Linked DNA regions of Macaca mulatta. Each later gene encodes a partner of the first gene's protein in a complex. Links are inferred from orthologs where the notes say so. Each region holds a gene or a part of one and is shown on either strand. Other genes may lie near its edges. The genes, in order: ACVR2B and GDF2.

What was found.
Region 2: the proteins of ACVR2B (region 1) and GDF2 are in contact, whole or in part, in a crystal structure (PDB 4FAO), measured with the Homo sapiens proteins. The link is inferred for Macaca mulatta from reciprocal best matches to the Homo sapiens genes ACVR2B and GDF2. Residues at the interface, in NP_001097.2 of Homo sapiens: Asn35, Glu39, Cys49, Glu50, Glu52, Lys55, Leu57, Tyr60, Ser62, Arg64, Val73, Lys74, Cys77, Trp78, Leu79, Asp81, Phe82, Asn83, Glu94, Gln98, Val99, Phe101; in NP_057288.1 of Homo sapiens: Arg333, Ile346, Ala347, Pro348, Lys349, Glu350, Tyr351, Glu352, Lys397, Ser399, Pro400, Ile401, Ser402, Val403, Leu404, Lys406, Gly410, Val411, Pro412, Thr413, Leu414, Tyr416, His417.

The regions. Positions count from the first base shown.
Region 1 is NC_133407.1:100,746,795-100,755,246, reverse strand, and holds the start of ACVR2B (activin receptor type-2B), read right to left. Parts: upstream 4,846-8,452; 5' UTR 4,699-4,845; coding exon 4,584-4,698; intron 1-4,583. UniProt on the Homo sapiens protein: Transmembrane serine/threonine kinase activin type-2 receptor forming an activin receptor complex with activin type-1 serine/threonine kinase receptors (ACVR1, ACVR1B or ACVR1c).
Region 2 is NC_133414.1:61,451,652-61,460,140, reverse strand, and holds GDF2 (growth/differentiation factor 2), read right to left. Parts: upstream 5,560-8,489; 5' UTR 5,128-5,559; coding exon 4,782-5,127; intron 2,945-4,781; coding exon 2,001-2,944; 3' UTR 176-2,000; downstream 1-175. UniProt on the Homo sapiens protein: Potent circulating inhibitor of angiogenesis. Signals through the type I activin receptor ACVRL1 but not other Alks. Signaling through SMAD1 in endothelial cells requires TGF-beta coreceptor endoglin/ENG.

The DNA.
Region 1 (8,452 bases):
CTCCAATGTGACTACTGAGTTGGTGCAAAAGTAATTGCGGGTTTTGCCATTAACATATTTACAGATAGGGCCTTTAAGACGGTAATTAAGGCTAAATGAGGTGATAAAGGTGGGCCTCCAGTCCAACAGGACTGGCATCCTTATAAGAAGAGACACCTGGAGTGGATACACACAGCAAAAAGGACAAAGCAAGAAGGCTACCATATGCCAACCCAGGAGAGAGGAATCACTGGAAACCAATCCTGACAGCACCTTCATCTTTAACTTCCAGCCCCCAGAATTGCAGGAAAAGAAATTTCTGTTGTTTAAGCCACCCAGTCTATGGTATTCCATTATGGCAACCTGAGCAGACTAAGACACAAACAGTGCACATCATACGTATAATGTGGGAAAGATGATTGGAGTATCATTTGTACTAGAAACAGTTCCACAAACTTGAGTGTCATCTAAATTCATTAGCAGGGCCTGACAAGTGGACTTACATAAAGAATCCTAACATAACAGTAAAGAGTAGGCAGCAAGCTGAAGAACAAGACTGGGAAGCAAGAGCTTTGGAGAACAAGTCATCCCAAACTATCTTCCCTAAGTCTTCTGCCAACTGTGGCAGAGAGTTATACAGGGAACAAGGCATACACTCAGCCAGGAACAGAAACTCACCAGAGCTCCTTCTGTCATGAAAAGCTTCTCACCATACTCTAAAATAGTTTTTCTACAGGTTTCTCCAATACCCCCACCATCATTATCACCACATATGAAATTAGAATTTGTCACACTCAGATTTTGTCAAATGCAGTAGGTTCGCCAGTAGTGCCGTTACCCAGAGCTCTTCAGCAACCTTCAGCAAGTGCCTTAGTCTCTTCAGAGTCTGCAGGCAGCATGGAGCCTGGTAAGTGAACGCACATATGCACTTCCATCCCAAACCCAGACCAGCACATCCTGGCTTGTCCACTGCTACTTCCCTCATCAGCACAGTACCCAGGAGACTCAGGCACAAGGTAGGAGACGCAGGCACGAGAAGTTATCTCCAGGTCTCCTCATACATTAAGCCAGTGGAAATGAGCCCTTCCCATGTCCCAGCATCCTTCTTGAAGCCAGGCTATTTCTAACCTCTGTAATCTAGCATGTCAGCAGGGGTTGGGGTGTGGGGGTGGGAAGGATGCTCACAGATTACCGCAGAGAGCCAACTGCCAAATCACCCAGCTTCTACCCCCACTGCCATCACTTGGGTAGCCTCAAAAAATAAATAAATAAATAAAATAGTGTAACCATTTTTCAGTATCTATTAAAACCAGTAATACACGCCTTAAAATCCAGAAGTTATTTTCTCATCTATCCTTGAGAAACAGTCTGCATACATTCTATACAATCATAAAGTCCAGGCCGGGCGCGGTGGCTCAAGCCTGTAATCCCAGCACTTTGGGAGGCCGAGACGGGCAGATCACAAGGTCAGGAGATCAAGACCATCCTGGCTACACAGTGAAACCCCATCTCTACTAAAAAATGCAAAAAAAAACTAGCCGGGTGGGTTGGCGGGCACCTGTAGTCCCAGCTACTCGGGAGGCTGAGGTAGGAGAATGGCGTAAACCCGGGAGGCGGAGCTTGCAGTGAGCTGAGATCCGGCCACTGCACTCCAGCCTGGGCGACAGAGCAAGACTCCGTCTCAAAAAAAAAAAAAAAAAAAAAAACCTTGGTTAAAGTCACAAACATGGTGAGGAAAAGATGGATGCAAAGCAGTTTATTCTGTAAGGTTCTATTCATACGAAACACAGAAACAGACGAAACTATTTTATGCTGTTAGAAGTCAGAATAGTAGTTAACCTTAGTGGGTGTTGGTAGAGACTGAAATGGAACAAAACAGGACTTGCTGGGGATGGGTGGCTGGAAAATTTCTGATTCTTGACTTGGATGCTGACTACACCAGTGTATTCAGTTTGTGAAAATGCTTCTCAGCTGTCACTTCTGTTTAATTACTTGTACATTCTTCTGTATATGTTTATACTTCAATTAAATGCTTGAATACCATTTTAGGTGGAAAAAAAGCCTATTTCTTTTTTTTTTTTTTTTGAGATGGAGACTCACTCAGTTGTCCAGGCTGGACTGCAGTGGCGCTATCTTGGCTCACTGCAAGCTCTGCCTCCCGGGTTCACGCCATTCTCCTGCCTCAGCCTCCCGAGTAGCTGGGACTACAGGCATCCACCACCACGTCCGGCTAATTTTTTGTATTTTTAGTAGAGACGGGGTTTCACTGTGTTAGCCAGGATGGTCTCAATCTCCTGACCTCATGATTTGCCCGCCTCAGCCTCCCAAAGTGCTGGGATTACAGGTGTGAGCCACGGTGCCTGGCCAAAAACCTGTCTATTTCTGTAAGTATTTCTATAGATGCACAGGTAAAAATGTCTGGAAGAATATACCTCAACCTTCAAAGGATTACGTTTGGAGGAGGCCTCAGATGGGGAACAGAGATGATAAAAGGAGGCCCTAGTTTTATCCGTAACATCTAAATTTCTGTGATACAATGTAGGTATATTACTTGTTTAAAAAGTAATAATTTGTTTTTAGAAATGGAAAAATTAGTTAGGGCTGAAGTGACTTCTACTCCCCAAACTACACCCCAGGGTGGCTAACCTTTCAGTGATGGGAGGTTTGGATGGGAGGTTTCAGGGCAGGGGAGATAGACTGCATTACCCTGGCCCTCCTTCTACTCCCACACAGCCTTGTAGGTCTCACCCTCAGCCAGAAGGTTCACAGGAGGAGCCAGCCAGGTGGGAAGAGAAACCAGAATTCATCTCTCTAACCCTTCTGCTCCTCTAGTTTCTAAGCCCCAGAGCAGATGAGCCTTTACTCACTATGCCCTCACTACACAGAGAAGCTGGACCTCCTGTGTGAGCCCTGGGCCACAGGACTCCCCTCTAACCCAATATCAAACTTCAGTGAGAAGGAAATTCCCAAAAAGTGCATAAAATAAGAGTTCTTAAACCATGGTTGCCAGCCCAGGCTGGGAAAACTCATGCGTGCTTTCTAAATCAACGGACACATAATAATCCAGTTGGAGGGGAAGGGGAGGAGGGTTATCAATGACACTGGACATTCATTAAAAGGCATTGTCCTCATACCTGAAAACACTGTGCACCACTGCACAAGCCAGAAGGAAAAAACATCCTGGCATCAACACTTGAGAGAGTCAGCTTCCAAGTCAGTCTCCTGTTTTAATTGGTTCAGGTCTGGGAGGCCACAGGGACCCCTCCCTCTCCTCAGATGGACAGATAACAGCTGGTCTGGTCTCATCCTCCGAAATGCTCAGGCACAAACCTGGGAAGCAGCCTCCTCCATTCTCCAGCCAAGGGCTTGGGTTTCCAACTAGCCTTCCTTTTCCTTCTCCAAAACTAATTTTAGCTTCCTTGGTTGTCAGAGTGGAACTGAAATAGTCGGCAGAGGAACACACGCAAAGAGCATGAGCTCGCCTCACAAAACACCTCAGCTCCAGCCCAGAAACTGGCCAGGGAGAAGCCCCATTGTCCAGCAGGTCAGACCTGTCCAGACAACATTCCCCTGGGAAGAGGGCCTCACATTTGCCCAGTGGGACAGGCTTCCTTTCCACACCCGCTTCCAGAGGTCATGTGTCCATGAATGAAAACACCCAGTTGGAGCTGCCAGTCCCAGAAAGAATCTGAAAAAGGCACATGCATGTGTACAGCAAGCCTAGAATAACCAGAGGAAAGCATGGGGCTATCCGAAGGCAGAAAGCTATTATTGGTCCTGGGCCCTGCAGGAAGAGGCATGGCTGACCCCTGAACAATCCCAGTCTGCTTTATCCGTTGATTTCCAGCACCTACCATTGTCTTAGTCAGAGACATCACTGACCAATGTAATAAATAAAGAGTCAGAAGAAGGCAGCAGCATTTCCACCCCTGGAAAACCTGGGCATTCAGGAGTGGTACCCCAAGGACCACAAGGAATAGGCACCTCTAGGGCTAGGATGGACCCCTAAGTCTGGTGCAGAATGAGAGACCAAAAAAGGAAGCCCAGAACAAGGGGGTGGGTCTCTGTTTTGGAATACAGAATTAGTGACAGAATGGGAGGGAAGGAAGAGAAAGAATTCTGAGAAGGAAATAAAGTCCCCTTTGTAAAGACCCCAAAAACAGATGGAACTAAAGTCTGAACCTCAGCAAGCACTTCACATACCAGTGATGTGGAGCACTTGGAAACTGGGGCTTTGAAAAATGCTTCCGCCATCCTAAGAGTCCAGTTTGTAATCACTTCCCAGTGCAGCAAACTGTGTCTCACTGAGTTCAAGATGAGAGAGAGTCCCACAGAAGCATTCCCTAGCCAAGCTCGAAGCAGGCCAGGGTAGGAGTAGAAAATAAACATGGGGGCAGCCACAGGGGGCTGCCAGCCTGCCAAGCCCAACAGACAAGCTTCCACAGATACGAACCGCTCCACCGGGGCCTCCAGTGCTGGCTGCCGCATGTCTAAGGCAGCGCTGCCCACACCTCCCCAGGTCCACAGCAGGAAGCCTGGCCCTGCCCTCAGATTCCCATCTGGCCACCACACCCTGAAGAGAGGGGAGAGACTTGCACCCATACCTTTGGGGAGAGGCTGCCCACCTGCCCTGGTGTCCCCGGCCTGGGGGCTCCAGGCCCACAGCCTCTGCGGCTCCCCGGAGCGCCACACGGCAGGTCTGCTCAGGGGAAGGGGCATGCCCACGGCCTGCTACAACCCCAGTGCTCCGCTTGGCAGACAGGGCTAGCCTCAGCTCCTGAGGCCCCTAGGTGAGCAGAGAGGGGGTGCTGGGCAGGCAGAGAGTCCCCAGCAACAGGCACTTCCTGACATTCTGCGTGTACGGGAGGAAGAGGCTGAGTGCCAGCCTTAAGGCAACGGTCAGAGGCGAGTGGGCGGGTGCGGGCAGGCAGGCTGCCCAGCCACCCACAGCCTCCGCCTCCCTGAAACCTGAACCACTTCTGGGAAAACTCAAGGACGCCAGGATTCTCCTCGGTGGCAAGCTGTACACCAGAACCACTAATTTTGAACCAAACTCTCACGTGCTGAGCAGATTTCACTAAGCAGGAATCTCCTAGGCCTTGAGGAGAACCTCACCTTCAACCCTGCATCCAGAGTGGGGGGATGGATATGCACTCATAAGCCGTTACCCCTACCTACTTCTTACAACTGTGTGCCTCTTTGAAAGCATGAGAACATTCTGGATCAGTGGTTCCCAACAGGAGATGATTTTGCTCTCACCTCTGCCAGGGACATTTTAGCAAGATCTGGAAACATTTTTGGTTGACATGATCTACTGGAATTTGTGGGTAGAGGTAGGGATACTGCTGAATATCCTACAATGCACAGAACAGCTCAACCCACCACTACCCACACACAACAGAGTATCATCAGGCCTAAAATGTAAATAGTGTCAAGGCTGAGAAACCCCGTTCTAGAGTGAGGCCCATGCAACCAGGACCCTACCTCAGGACTATCTAGAGTCTATCTGGAGTTACCCACAAAAAGATTATCCAGACCCAGTCCTCAACCCTCCAGATCCCAATCCATGGTGACAGGTTAGTATATGTGAGTGGATCTAAACTCCTGAACTGATACTCCTTGGTTCTCATTTGCACTACCCTGAGCTCCCAAGCAGAGGGGCTGAATGCATAGGCAGGCACTCAAGAGGGCAGCTTTCTGGAAAGAGACACCAGGGCTAGAATCTAAACATCCAGCGGGATCACAAAAGGCAAAGTAAGTGAGGTACCAAGGTGGAACAAGCACCCCTCCCACCCCAGAACAAGCTGCCCCTTAGGACTGCTACAGTGGATATGTGCAGGGCAGCCAGGACTTCAAGGAGTTTAATCAGGGGGCAGCAGGTTCCCAGTATCTACAAAACAGAGTGGGTGCATACAATGTACAACCACATGCACACATATACCGATTTACATTTTCCTGGGGGAAGGGTCCATAGCTTTCATCAGATTCTCAGAGGGGTCTACGACATCAAGGACCACTGTACAGAATGTGGGCTCTTCACTGGCTCCCTATAACGGGAGCTCCTTAGGTGAAGTGCCAGCGGAGGTTCAGCTGCTTTTGGAGATTCTTGATGCCCAGAAAGACCCACAGAGTAGTATACCACAGAGGCCCACCCAAGCGATGGGAGGCCATGGGGTTCAGATCTTATGTTTTCACCCAGCTGTAGGGCCTGGAAAGATGGCCAGGTTTCTCACATCATCTGTCTTGAAAGGGCCCCCAAGAGCTAGGGATTCCTCCCAAAGGGCAGCTCACCCAGATGGGGCAGAGCCTCAAGTGCCCAGCAGATACAAGGACAGATAGCAGAAAACACTCTTCCCTGGGAGGGGCACCCATGGCCCATGGCTCTGCAGCCCATGTCCTTGGCAGCTACCACTACACTAGGCCTGAGGGATGAAAGTCACTTCACTTCACAAGCTCGTTCCCTCCACCAAGGAAGTGGCCAAGAAACATCTTTGGGTCAAAGAACGGTCAGCCTATCAGAGCAATCAGGGCCTGCACTTCCTGATGGGACAGATAGGAGGCAGGTCCCTCTCCAAGAGCTCTGGACACTTCACCTAGAATACTGTTCACTCCACCCCCATAGGCCCTTTGATCTGAACCCCAAGTACAGAGACAGGTGTTAGGAGTTCTTGTAGGATACAGCGTTGAGTGTCCAGGATGTCCACTGAAATGCAAGAGCCAAATGGCTTGTTTCCCAAGGACACTCGGCCAGACACAGACCACAAAAGACTTAAAGAATTATTAAAGAACTAACTGACCACTGACTGATCTTGTGACAAGCACCATGTGCCACTTATTACACCATAAATTCTGCCTTCCCTTCTGAGACTCCATTGTCCAATATGGTAGCCACTAGCCAAATGTTCCGCAGAGCACTGGAAATGTGGAAAGTTGGAGTTGAGGATGTTCTGTAAGGCACACACAGGATTTTGATGACAGTACAAAAATGGAACACAAAATGTCTCATTTTAATACTGATTTCAGACTGAGATGATTACTTTGTATATATCAAATTAAGTGAAATACACTTTTTTATTGAGATGGAGCCTCACTCTGTCACCAGGCTGGAGTGCAGTGACACGATCTCGGCTCACTGCAACCTCCACCTCCCAGGTTCATGCGATTCTCCTGCCTCAGCCTCCGGAGTAGCTGGGACTACAGGTATGTGTCACCACGCCCAGCTAATTTTTGTATTTTTAGTAGAGATGGGGTTTCACCATGTTGGCCAGGATGGTCTCGATCTCTTGACCTCGTGATCCTCCTACCTCGGTCTCCTGAAGTGCTGGGATTACAGGCATCAGCCACTGTGCCAGGCCAGTAAAATATACTATTAAAGTTCATTCCATCTCATGGAAAGCATGTGTACCCCCAAAATTCATATGATGAAGCTCTGACCCCCAGTGTAATGGTATTTGGAGATGGGACCTTTGGGAAGTAGTGAAGGTTAGATTAAGTCAGAAGGGTGGGGCCCTCAGGTAATGGGGAGAGGATTCACAGTCTTATAAACAGAGGAAAACACCCCCTAGCCCCATCCCACCCATCATGTGAGAATGTAGTAAGAAGGCAGATGTCTGCAAGCCAGGAAGAGGGTCTTCACCAGAACCCAACCATGCCAGCACCCTGCACCCTGGGCTCAGACTTACAGCTTCCAGAACTTTGACGATATAAATTTCTGCTGTTTAAGCCACCAGTCTACAGTATTTTGTTATGGAAGTCCCAACTAAGACACAGCTGTTTCTTCTTCCTTTTATTAACATGACTACTAGAAAACGTTGTTTTATATGTATACATAGTTCATATACTATTTCTGTCGCCAGGACAGCATTCTTCTAGATGTTCCTTCTAGCAGGCCATTGTGTGCTGCACAGGGTGGGGGTTATTCCAAACAGCAAGCCAGGAGCTTGAAATAAAAGGGCATCCCTGAAGCCAAAACAACGGAGGGTCAGGTCCGCTGCAAACTGGGCCTGGGGCAGCTCTTTTCACAGTTCCTCACAGGTCAGGGACTGGCTGGTGTGACTACACGAAATATCCAGTGACCCCCGACCTTCTTCCCAGGACAGGATACACTGCTCAGCACTGCCTAAGCTAGGTGGCTGAAACGGACGAAAAAGAAAGAAAATACACTCCTTCCAGGGGTCTGATGCCACCCTGCCCTGCCTAATGAGGGAGGTGTGAGACTGGTGTGGTCCCCAGATCCCAGGTTTGAAGCTGTCCTGTCTCGGGAGGAAGCTCTCCTAAAGGCCTGGGCTTGGAAGAGCCCCAGCACTTCCAGGGATCAGGCCAGCAGCGGGTCTGGAGGCAGCCCGGTGGGCTGCTGTGTGCCTATCAAGTCAGCTTGCTGCCGCCCTCCCTCTGGCAGACCAATGCCTCCCCTGTCACTTTCAAGCCCTCCTTGGGGAAAATGCATCCCAAGGGAGCGGGGCAAAAAAGAGGA
Region 2 (8,489 bases), on another chromosome or scaffold:
TCACCCAGTTTGCAGACACCACCCACCTGCATCCACCCAGCCCTGAGGTGGCTGCCTGTCCCCTCCCCTCTGCCTCCTTAGGAAAAGGAGGCCCATCCCAGTGGGGTCGGAGGGTGGGGTAGGCAGGGTGTGAGTCTACAGGGTCCTCAAGATTGGGTCTCACATTAGGAGGGGCTGCAAATTAGACATTTGACTTTATTTCCAAGTGAAACTTTCAAGCAGGCACAGAAGCACAGCACCAGGACTGAAAGAAGATGCTCAACACCCAACATGGAATAGCATTGTAACACCACACTGCCCGGCATGTAGCAGGAATTCATATTTTCTCTAACACCAGTAATTAAACAAGAATGTTGTGTTGTATATTTGTGTTAAAGTTGTTCATTGGTTCCATGTAAACATTTAACATAACACTTTCCCCACCCCCCACTTTTTTTTTTTTTTTTAAATAAACGGGAGCTTCAACCATGGGGAGAGGCACTGGCTTCTCTAAGCCTCCCCTAGGCCCTGCTCTGGCTGGAGGTCAGAGGGCCATAGGTGCACTCTTCATCACTTTCAGATTCTTCCTCACACTGCCCCGTTCCATGTATGGCCAGGAGAGTCAGAGGAGAGGGTGAAACACAGAGCAAATGGAAGCCTTATCATCCCTTGGGTTCGGGGAGGCTGAATCTGGTCCCACAATCCGAGCCCAGGCGGGGTGCTGGGATGCACGTGACTCAAGAGAGCCGGCAAATGCAGGCAGAGCCAGTGATCGCCGATAAGGACTGCAGCTCTTCCGAGGCTGGGGAGGCCTCGCCCAGGAAGGCTGGAGTCTTGTCACTTGAGGACATGTCACCAAGGATTAAAAATAGGTATGTTTCAAAGACCAAAGCAAGAGCACATTTAATTCCAACAAATTCAAATCCAGGCCCGTCTCCCCTGGGTTGTCGCTGGGGGGCACCCTGGGCACCACATCCTGGTGGTCTGGCTATGCTGAGTAACTGCAGAAGTGCTGGCCACAGGCTACCCCCTCCCTCAGGAGAAAGTGTGCCCAGCCCTCTCAAACGGTCACATGGTATCAGTCCATGGACAGTGAGTGGCCCCGTGTGCACCATTGACCGTGGGAGCACTGCACCAGGGGGTCACAATAGCTCTGGCCACAGTGTATCATGCAGCCCACAGGGCTGCTGTCCTGACCTCTCTCTCTGTCCTGCAGTTGGCCTGGGGTTAGTTTTTCAGTGCCTCAGGGGTGATATTAAAAAGCATTTGGCCGCTGAGTGAGCACTGGCAACAGTGGCCAGACCACGCCCTGTATGTGACAAGTAGCCCAGTCACACTTGTGACTGATGGGCTTCAGCCGGGCCCGGCCTCAACACTCCTGGGCTCCCAATGTCTCACTGCTCTTTAGCTGGAGAGGACCTGCTTAACTGCAGCGGGGCACTTGGAAAGATCCTGGGCTTTGGTGTCCCACAACTCTGGGTTGGAATCATGCCATTGACCAATGCTACTTGATCTGCCTGTGTTTCTGTCTCTCTGTCTCTAAATTGGAAGCCATGCCCCTCTAACTGGATTGTAGGAAATAACATGCAGTGATGGGTGTGGCGTGCAGCCTGCTCCTTCCCTCTACTCCCCAAGGGTTTTGGAATAAGCCAGCCTCCTCCACCTTTCTAATCTCCATCAATCTCTGCAGTCACCTGCCCACCTGTGCTCCTCTGGCTCACTGCTGTTGTTTTCTGTTGACTCTGGATTACTTTTCCCCTTGTCTCCTTTTCATCACCTCCTTGCACCCCAACAACCCTCCCAGGCTTTCCCGTTGTGCTCAAATCCCCATTTCCTTAGCCTTCCCTGGCAGTTGAGCTCAGTGGTGTATGCTTTGGTTGGGGGGTGGGGAGGGAGAGCAGGCTCCCTTTCCTCCTCCAGGCTGGCATGCAGATAGAATCAGTCCTTGTTGTGCCCAGGGGGATGCAGGACCTCTCATGTGGAGCCCCTTTGGCCTGCCTCCCCAGCCCCGCAGGCAGGTACTACCTGCACCCACACTCTGCCACACTCATGCCCTCGTAGTGGTACTTGAGGGTGGGCACTCCCATGTCATCCTTGTAGAGGATGGAGATGGGGCTCAGTTTGGTGGGCACACAGCAGGCTTTGCCCACCTTTGTGGGGAACTTGAGATGCACCAGGGTCTGCACGATAGCGTGTTTCGTCGGCGTCACATCGTCAGCCAAGGGGAAGAAGCAGCCACCCTTACACTCGTAGGCTTCGTACTCCTTGGGCGCAATGATCCAGCTGTTCCAGCCGATGTCCTCGAAGTTTACCCGCAGGGAGGTCTTCTGACAGTGGCTGCCAGCCCCGGTGCTCCTTTTCCGCCTGGCTAAAGTCGACCCCACAGCCACGTGGCCATCTGCGTCCTCCTCGTGGCTGCTCTCACCTGCCTCTGTGGAGCCCTCCTTGGACAGCTTCTTGAGCACACTCTCTTGCTCATGGCTGATCATCTCCCTCAGCTCCAGCCTGGTCTCCTTGGTCCCACTGCTGTGGTCATTGGAGAAGACGACAAAGAAGGGCAGGTTTCTGGAACCTGGGGGGACACTGATGTCCAGCTTGTCACAGCCCTTCCTGTGGCTCTCCACAGTCACTTCCAGCTTATTTTTGCTCTTGGTGGAGTCGGACCGGACCCAACGCTTCACGGCGCTGGACACTTCCAAGGTCTCCCAGCCCTCATCCCGAATGTCCTGGGACACCAGGAAGGTCTTGGTCTCCGCAGCACTATCCCAGGCATCTGTTCCATCCAGAACATCATAAATGACCATGCTTCCTTTCAGGTCGTGAGAGTGGTCCATGTGATTTTGACAGGAGACATAGAGTCGGAGCTCAGCTCTGGTGATCTGCTCGTGCCTGGGAATGGAGATGTTGAAGAGCAAGATGTGCTTCTGGAAGGGGAAGTCCTCCGTGGCAGTCATGGAGATGGCATCTGAAATGCAAACACACCTGGTGGGCATCTGCCGAAGGGTCTGTTTCCATGACACTGAAGCTGAGTCTCAGGGTTTAGACAGAAGAGCATCTGGGATAACAGTTTTGGTCTGTATTATCTCTATTTGGTTTCACCCAAGCCCTTAAGTTATAAGAGTATTTTCAAAGGTATACTTAAGATCTTCCAAAGAAAAGCAAAGGCAGGAGATGCCTCTAATTGGGATTGACAGTTCCTACTGTTTATTGAGCATCTACTGTGTGCCAGGCATTACACTGGGAGCTTTGCAGTGTAAATTTCACCTTAATCCTCGCACTCACCCTGGGAGGATCTAATTATTATTCCACATTTGCAGATGTGGAGACTGGGATTCAAGGCAGTTAATTGCCAAAATGCACGCAGCTAGTTAAGTATCCTGGGACTTACTAGCACACAGCTAGTGAGTACATAAAGAAAACAGCAAAACTCACTGTCAGATCCTGAGTGAAGATCCTGAGTACACGAATTTAAAGGCAAGATCCTGGGTGGGGACAGTGAAATCCCAATATTAAGACAATATCAAAAATCTCAGCCTCTAAACAGTGTATGCATCATTTGAAATTGTAATTTCTGAACAAAGCATAAGTGATTAATTGGTTTTAGTGTTTCAGGAAAAAAATCTATTAGCTTCAATTGCTTTGTCATGTCAAGCAAAAATGGGGCTTGCCTTTTAGCCACATAGTTAACTCAATATCCCATTTATCCTGGGCTGACACTTTGTCGTTAGCACACTCCTGCTATACCACGGCTGGTTCACAGACAGGGAAAAGAGGTTGCATTTTCTGGGCACTTGCTATGCGCCCACATGTGTGGAGACCCGGTGCTATAGGGAAACCTAGCTGGCAGGTTTTGAAGTGCCAGTCCTGCCTCTGCAGACTGGTTAGCTCTGGCCTGGATGCGGTATGGAGCCAGGCCCCTAAGCCATTTGCAAGTCTCAGACCCAGGAGGGGAGAGGCTCTGTGCTCCTGGACATTCAGAGGGAGACGGCAGCAGCAGGAAAAGCCGGCTGTGCAGACGGACAGGCCTGGGTCAGAATCCAGCGGCTTAACACTTCCTAGGTGACATGGGTGGGAACCCTTGGTGGCTGCAAGTTTTGACTGAACAGTTTCACTGTTCAGAAACTTATTTCCCCCTGCATCATGTGAGCTTGACTGAGTTAGGACATAGGTCCTAGGTCCGTGTTTGTTATCTTCTAGTCCTTCTAAATCAGATACATTTCTATTTAAAAACAATTAGGTTCTCTTTCAACACTTCTCTGTCAAAGAATTTCATCTGATTTTTAAAACCCTTTCACAAGAAAGGAATAACTGTGCTTTCAAAGTTTAAAAATATACCAGTTAGTTGGAGGTGAAATAGGTTGTCTGTTTTGTTTTGAAGTAGGAAGGGGACAGGAAGGGAAGGGGAAAAGGAAGAGAAGTGAATCAGAGGGGAGAGACGGAAAGAAGAGGAGAGTAAACAGAAGGGGTGGAAAAAAGGGAGCTGGCATCCCTGTGCACCTGCTGTGTGAAATGTGGCGCACAGCCTGGGGAAGGTGAATCCTTCAGAGCAGAAGCGCCGAGTAGAACTCTCAGTGACCATGGAAATGTTCTGCAGTCTGCACTGCCTGATAGGGAAGCCATTAGCCACACATTTGAAAGGAAGCTGGTGAGGCTAAAGAACTAAGTTTTAATTTTATTTCATTGTAACTAATTTAAATGGAAGCTTGAAGAGCCTCCTATGACCAGCGGCCTCCACCCTGGTGAAAGCAGCTGTGGACCTGTGAGTCCTACCCCAGCGCGTCTGGTGCAAGCGGAGACCCTACCTTCCATGCTGAAGCTCCGCACGATGTTGGACGCTGGCGTAGTCGACTTATCAGACGTGTACCTGTTGTACAGATCGATCATGTACTGCGGTGGCTCCACCCTGGTTTTGTCCTGCGAAGGGACCCCGCTCAGGTTAAGGCTGCGCAAGAAATCCACCTTCATGTTCTCCAGAAACATCTTCAGGTTGAAAGTGTGCTCCGGCAGCTCACCTCCAGGCACCCCCAGTGGGTTGTGGGCAGTTCCCCCAGCAGACCCTCGCCCCCAGCTCTGCAGTGGCTTCCCCTGCAGGGAGCCGGCCAGCAGGGACAGCAGGGGCAGGGCCACCCATAGTGCCCCAGGACACATCTTGGGCCCACGCAATCACCCAGAGAGGAGACTGCAGGCGGCCGTACTGTGTTAGCGGGCACGGGGAGGAGCCGGGAAGGAGCAGGCCGGCATCTCCCTGCTGTTTGCTCTGAAGGAACCGTCCTGGCCAGCGCCCACTTTCGCCCGCTGCCGGGCTGGATTGTCCTCCACTTGTGCTTATCTGGTCCTCGATGCCGCGCTCCGACGTCTTATCTGAGGGAGCCTTCCGTTAATGAAGGCTCTATAAACATCTGACAAACACACAGGGCATGTGGGAAGGACACGGCCTACTGTAAGGAATCTGTGCTTCTCCAGGGGGTTATTGCCCCCTAATTAGGATCCTTTCTCATTTCCTTGCCAGGGCTCTTCAGAAGAATCTCCAGGCAGGGTGACATATGCTCCATCTCCTGGGCCACAGTAGTGAAGAATCCAGGAAACAAGACCAAGAAGCCCTCCAAATATAGAAAGGACAGCGCAAGAGCACAGTGAACTGTGGGGGCTGGGGAGATGGTGAGAGTGTGGGGACCACATCAAGGCTCAGAAGAGGCCTGCTCCTTACAGAGTCGGAACCTGCGAGCAAGGCTCCCTGCTCTGTTGGTGGGATGCATTGCTGAGCATTAGAGATCACGAGTGAATATGGCTCTCGTGCAATTTAGTGTGGTGATAAGTCAGACTAGACAGAGGCTGGGATCTCAGCTCCCTCACCGATTCCCTGCAAATGTCACCTGGAACAAGTCACCGCACTCTACGAGCCTCCCATTCAGAAGATAGTTGTAGGGGTTAAGAGGATGCTGTGCCCCAGGCTGGCTTGGTGGCAGCATTCTGGATGCCCCTTCTCCAGCCCACACCTGATTGAGCTGGAGCCCCGGGTTCCCCCAGCCTGCTCTGTCAGAGCTCCACAACACACTGCAGCCTGCAGGGAGCTCCCCACATCCCTGCATCCCAGCTCTGGCACTGGCCTGTTGTGGGGTGGTCTTAGCTCACATTGACTTGGCAGCCACCTGGCCCACACTCATCAGCAGGGAGAACCACGCAATCTGGTAGACAGGGGAGTAGGTGAGTTGTTCTGAGACTGGTACATGCCAAGAAGATGATTCCCTGGCCTTTGGAGGCTGACAAGCTGTGGCCCAGGAAAGGGCCCTAGGGACTGTGTTAAGAGCAGTGTGTCCACACTTAAGACTCTGTCCATTTCCATCATGTGTGGCTTTGAGTACAGCAAAGAAGGAGCATGGTTAGAAATACTCCAGGGTATGCTGTGCCTGGTGGTTTACTCTGGGGAAGATGCTCCATGCTGGTGAGGCTGTCGGGGAGAGGTTGCAGAGAGCTGAGCAGGTTTAGTGGGGTGCAGGAGGGGCCACAGCATGCTGTGGTCAGATTGCAGACGAGGATGGGTGAAATCAGGAGCCCCTGAATGGCTGGGCCTGGACAGAACTTGCTATCTCTGTCCTTTGATGACATGGGCCAGGGGAAGACGGGAAGCGTGCTGCTTCAGAAATGCTGCTTGGGAAGAGGACTGGAAGTGCGCTGGGCTTTGATCCAGCTCAGCGCAAGAATTCCATGGGGCAGAGAAAAGATGAATAAATGGGTGCCATGCCCAAGAAATGGAGCTGCAAATGCAGAGTGGGGTGTGGTCTGGGAGGAGTGAGGACAGGGCAGATGCCTGCATCGTGGTCTGACCAGGAGCTTTTCACACATGAGAGGCTGAGCAGAGTATGAATAGCCTAGGGGCCTGGATGTGCTCTAGTAGGAGCAAGGCGCTGCTACCTGATGTTATTTTTCAAATGTGACATTTTTTCCCAGTTATAACAGTAGTCTATAGTGCAGAAAGCTTGGGAAATGGAAAACATTGTTAAAGAGAAAATAAATAACCTACAGTTTAATCATCCAGTGATGCTCATGGTTAGCATTTTGAGACACATCCGCTCCACAATCCTATATCTGAAACCCTTGTGGCCAAGAGTGTGTTGCGACTTCGATAGTTTCAGATTTGGGGGATTTTGTATTGTGTATATGCAATAACATTCCCAAAGGGGTCAGAGACGACACCTTATAATGACACACATGAATATTTCTGCAGTGAAACAAATAAAGCCACAAATGTCCATTCAGGTCAAGTTTTCCCAGAAAAGGAATTAAAAGAAACTTTAGGTTCTTAGATGGTTTTTTATTTGGGGGTCTCAGATGAAGGACTATGGACCTGACTATGTCCAGGGTCATCACAGCTGCCTGTGGGTGCTGGTCACACAGACTCTGACATGGATGGCTTTCCCTGGAGCTGTGCAATGCAACATGCCGGTGTATATCTGAAATGATTTGCCTCACAAACTCAAGGGATCAATATGTTCACATCTCTTTTATTGTTTTAAATGGATTGCTTGAGGTTTCCTGATCCATATCATCAGGAAGTCTGGTCTTCTCCTTTCCTGAATAGTCCAAGTGCCCCATGTGTCAATTAAGTCCAAAGGAGATGGTGTGGGAAGGTGTTAGTCCAGCTTCTTCACGCTGGGAAGCGGGAGGGAGAGAGGGGTCCCACCTGCTGTTGCTTCTCAACAACACTGGCTTTGCTGTTGGGCACTGGTCCTACATGTCTAAACGGCTGCTTGTTCTTAGCTGCTGGGACGCCCTCTAGCCCAGGTCTGTAGGGTGCGCCCCATGAGGCAACAAGGTAACAGTCTTCTTAGACATATGCCGGGCTTACCCACCTCCGGCATGCATGCCTCTGTGGCCAGTGGCTGGGTGGAGAGAAGAGGCCAGCTATGGTCACATACCAATTCTAACCTGCCCTTTCTCAAATTTCTAGGCTCTTACGGGTGGCCTAGGTCATCAGAGGGACTCCCACTTTCATCAGGTGGTGATTTCAGGGACTTGGTTACCTTTTCATACAAATGGACCTTGGTCCATCTGAGAAAATCCCCCTAACTCTGAGTCTTAGGGAACAAGTCTCAAACTTGTTCTGATTTTCCCAGGAGGAAACAGACCCTGGGTGTTCCCTCCTGAAGAAGGACCCCTCCCTCTGCTATCACCAGCTTTGCATTGTTGGGGTTTCAGGAAGGAGCTGCCTCACTTGAACCACAGAAGGTCTTATTTATCTCTCGTTTGCCCCCTCCTCCTTCAAACTGTGTACTTTCTAATTCTTCACCGACTTCCCAGGGAGGTCTATCCACATGATTATTCAAAGACTAAAGATCTGAATTATGGTAGTCTTATGTGTCTATACCTAAATAAAGCAAAGGCTGGCATAAAATTTAAGAAAATGTACACTAAAGTGTCTTCAATCTCTGCCTTAGGTTTACTTTCGAAGCCACTTGAGGTATACAAGGTTTGATATGTATGGGCTTCTCTTTGAAAAAAATTTTTTTAAT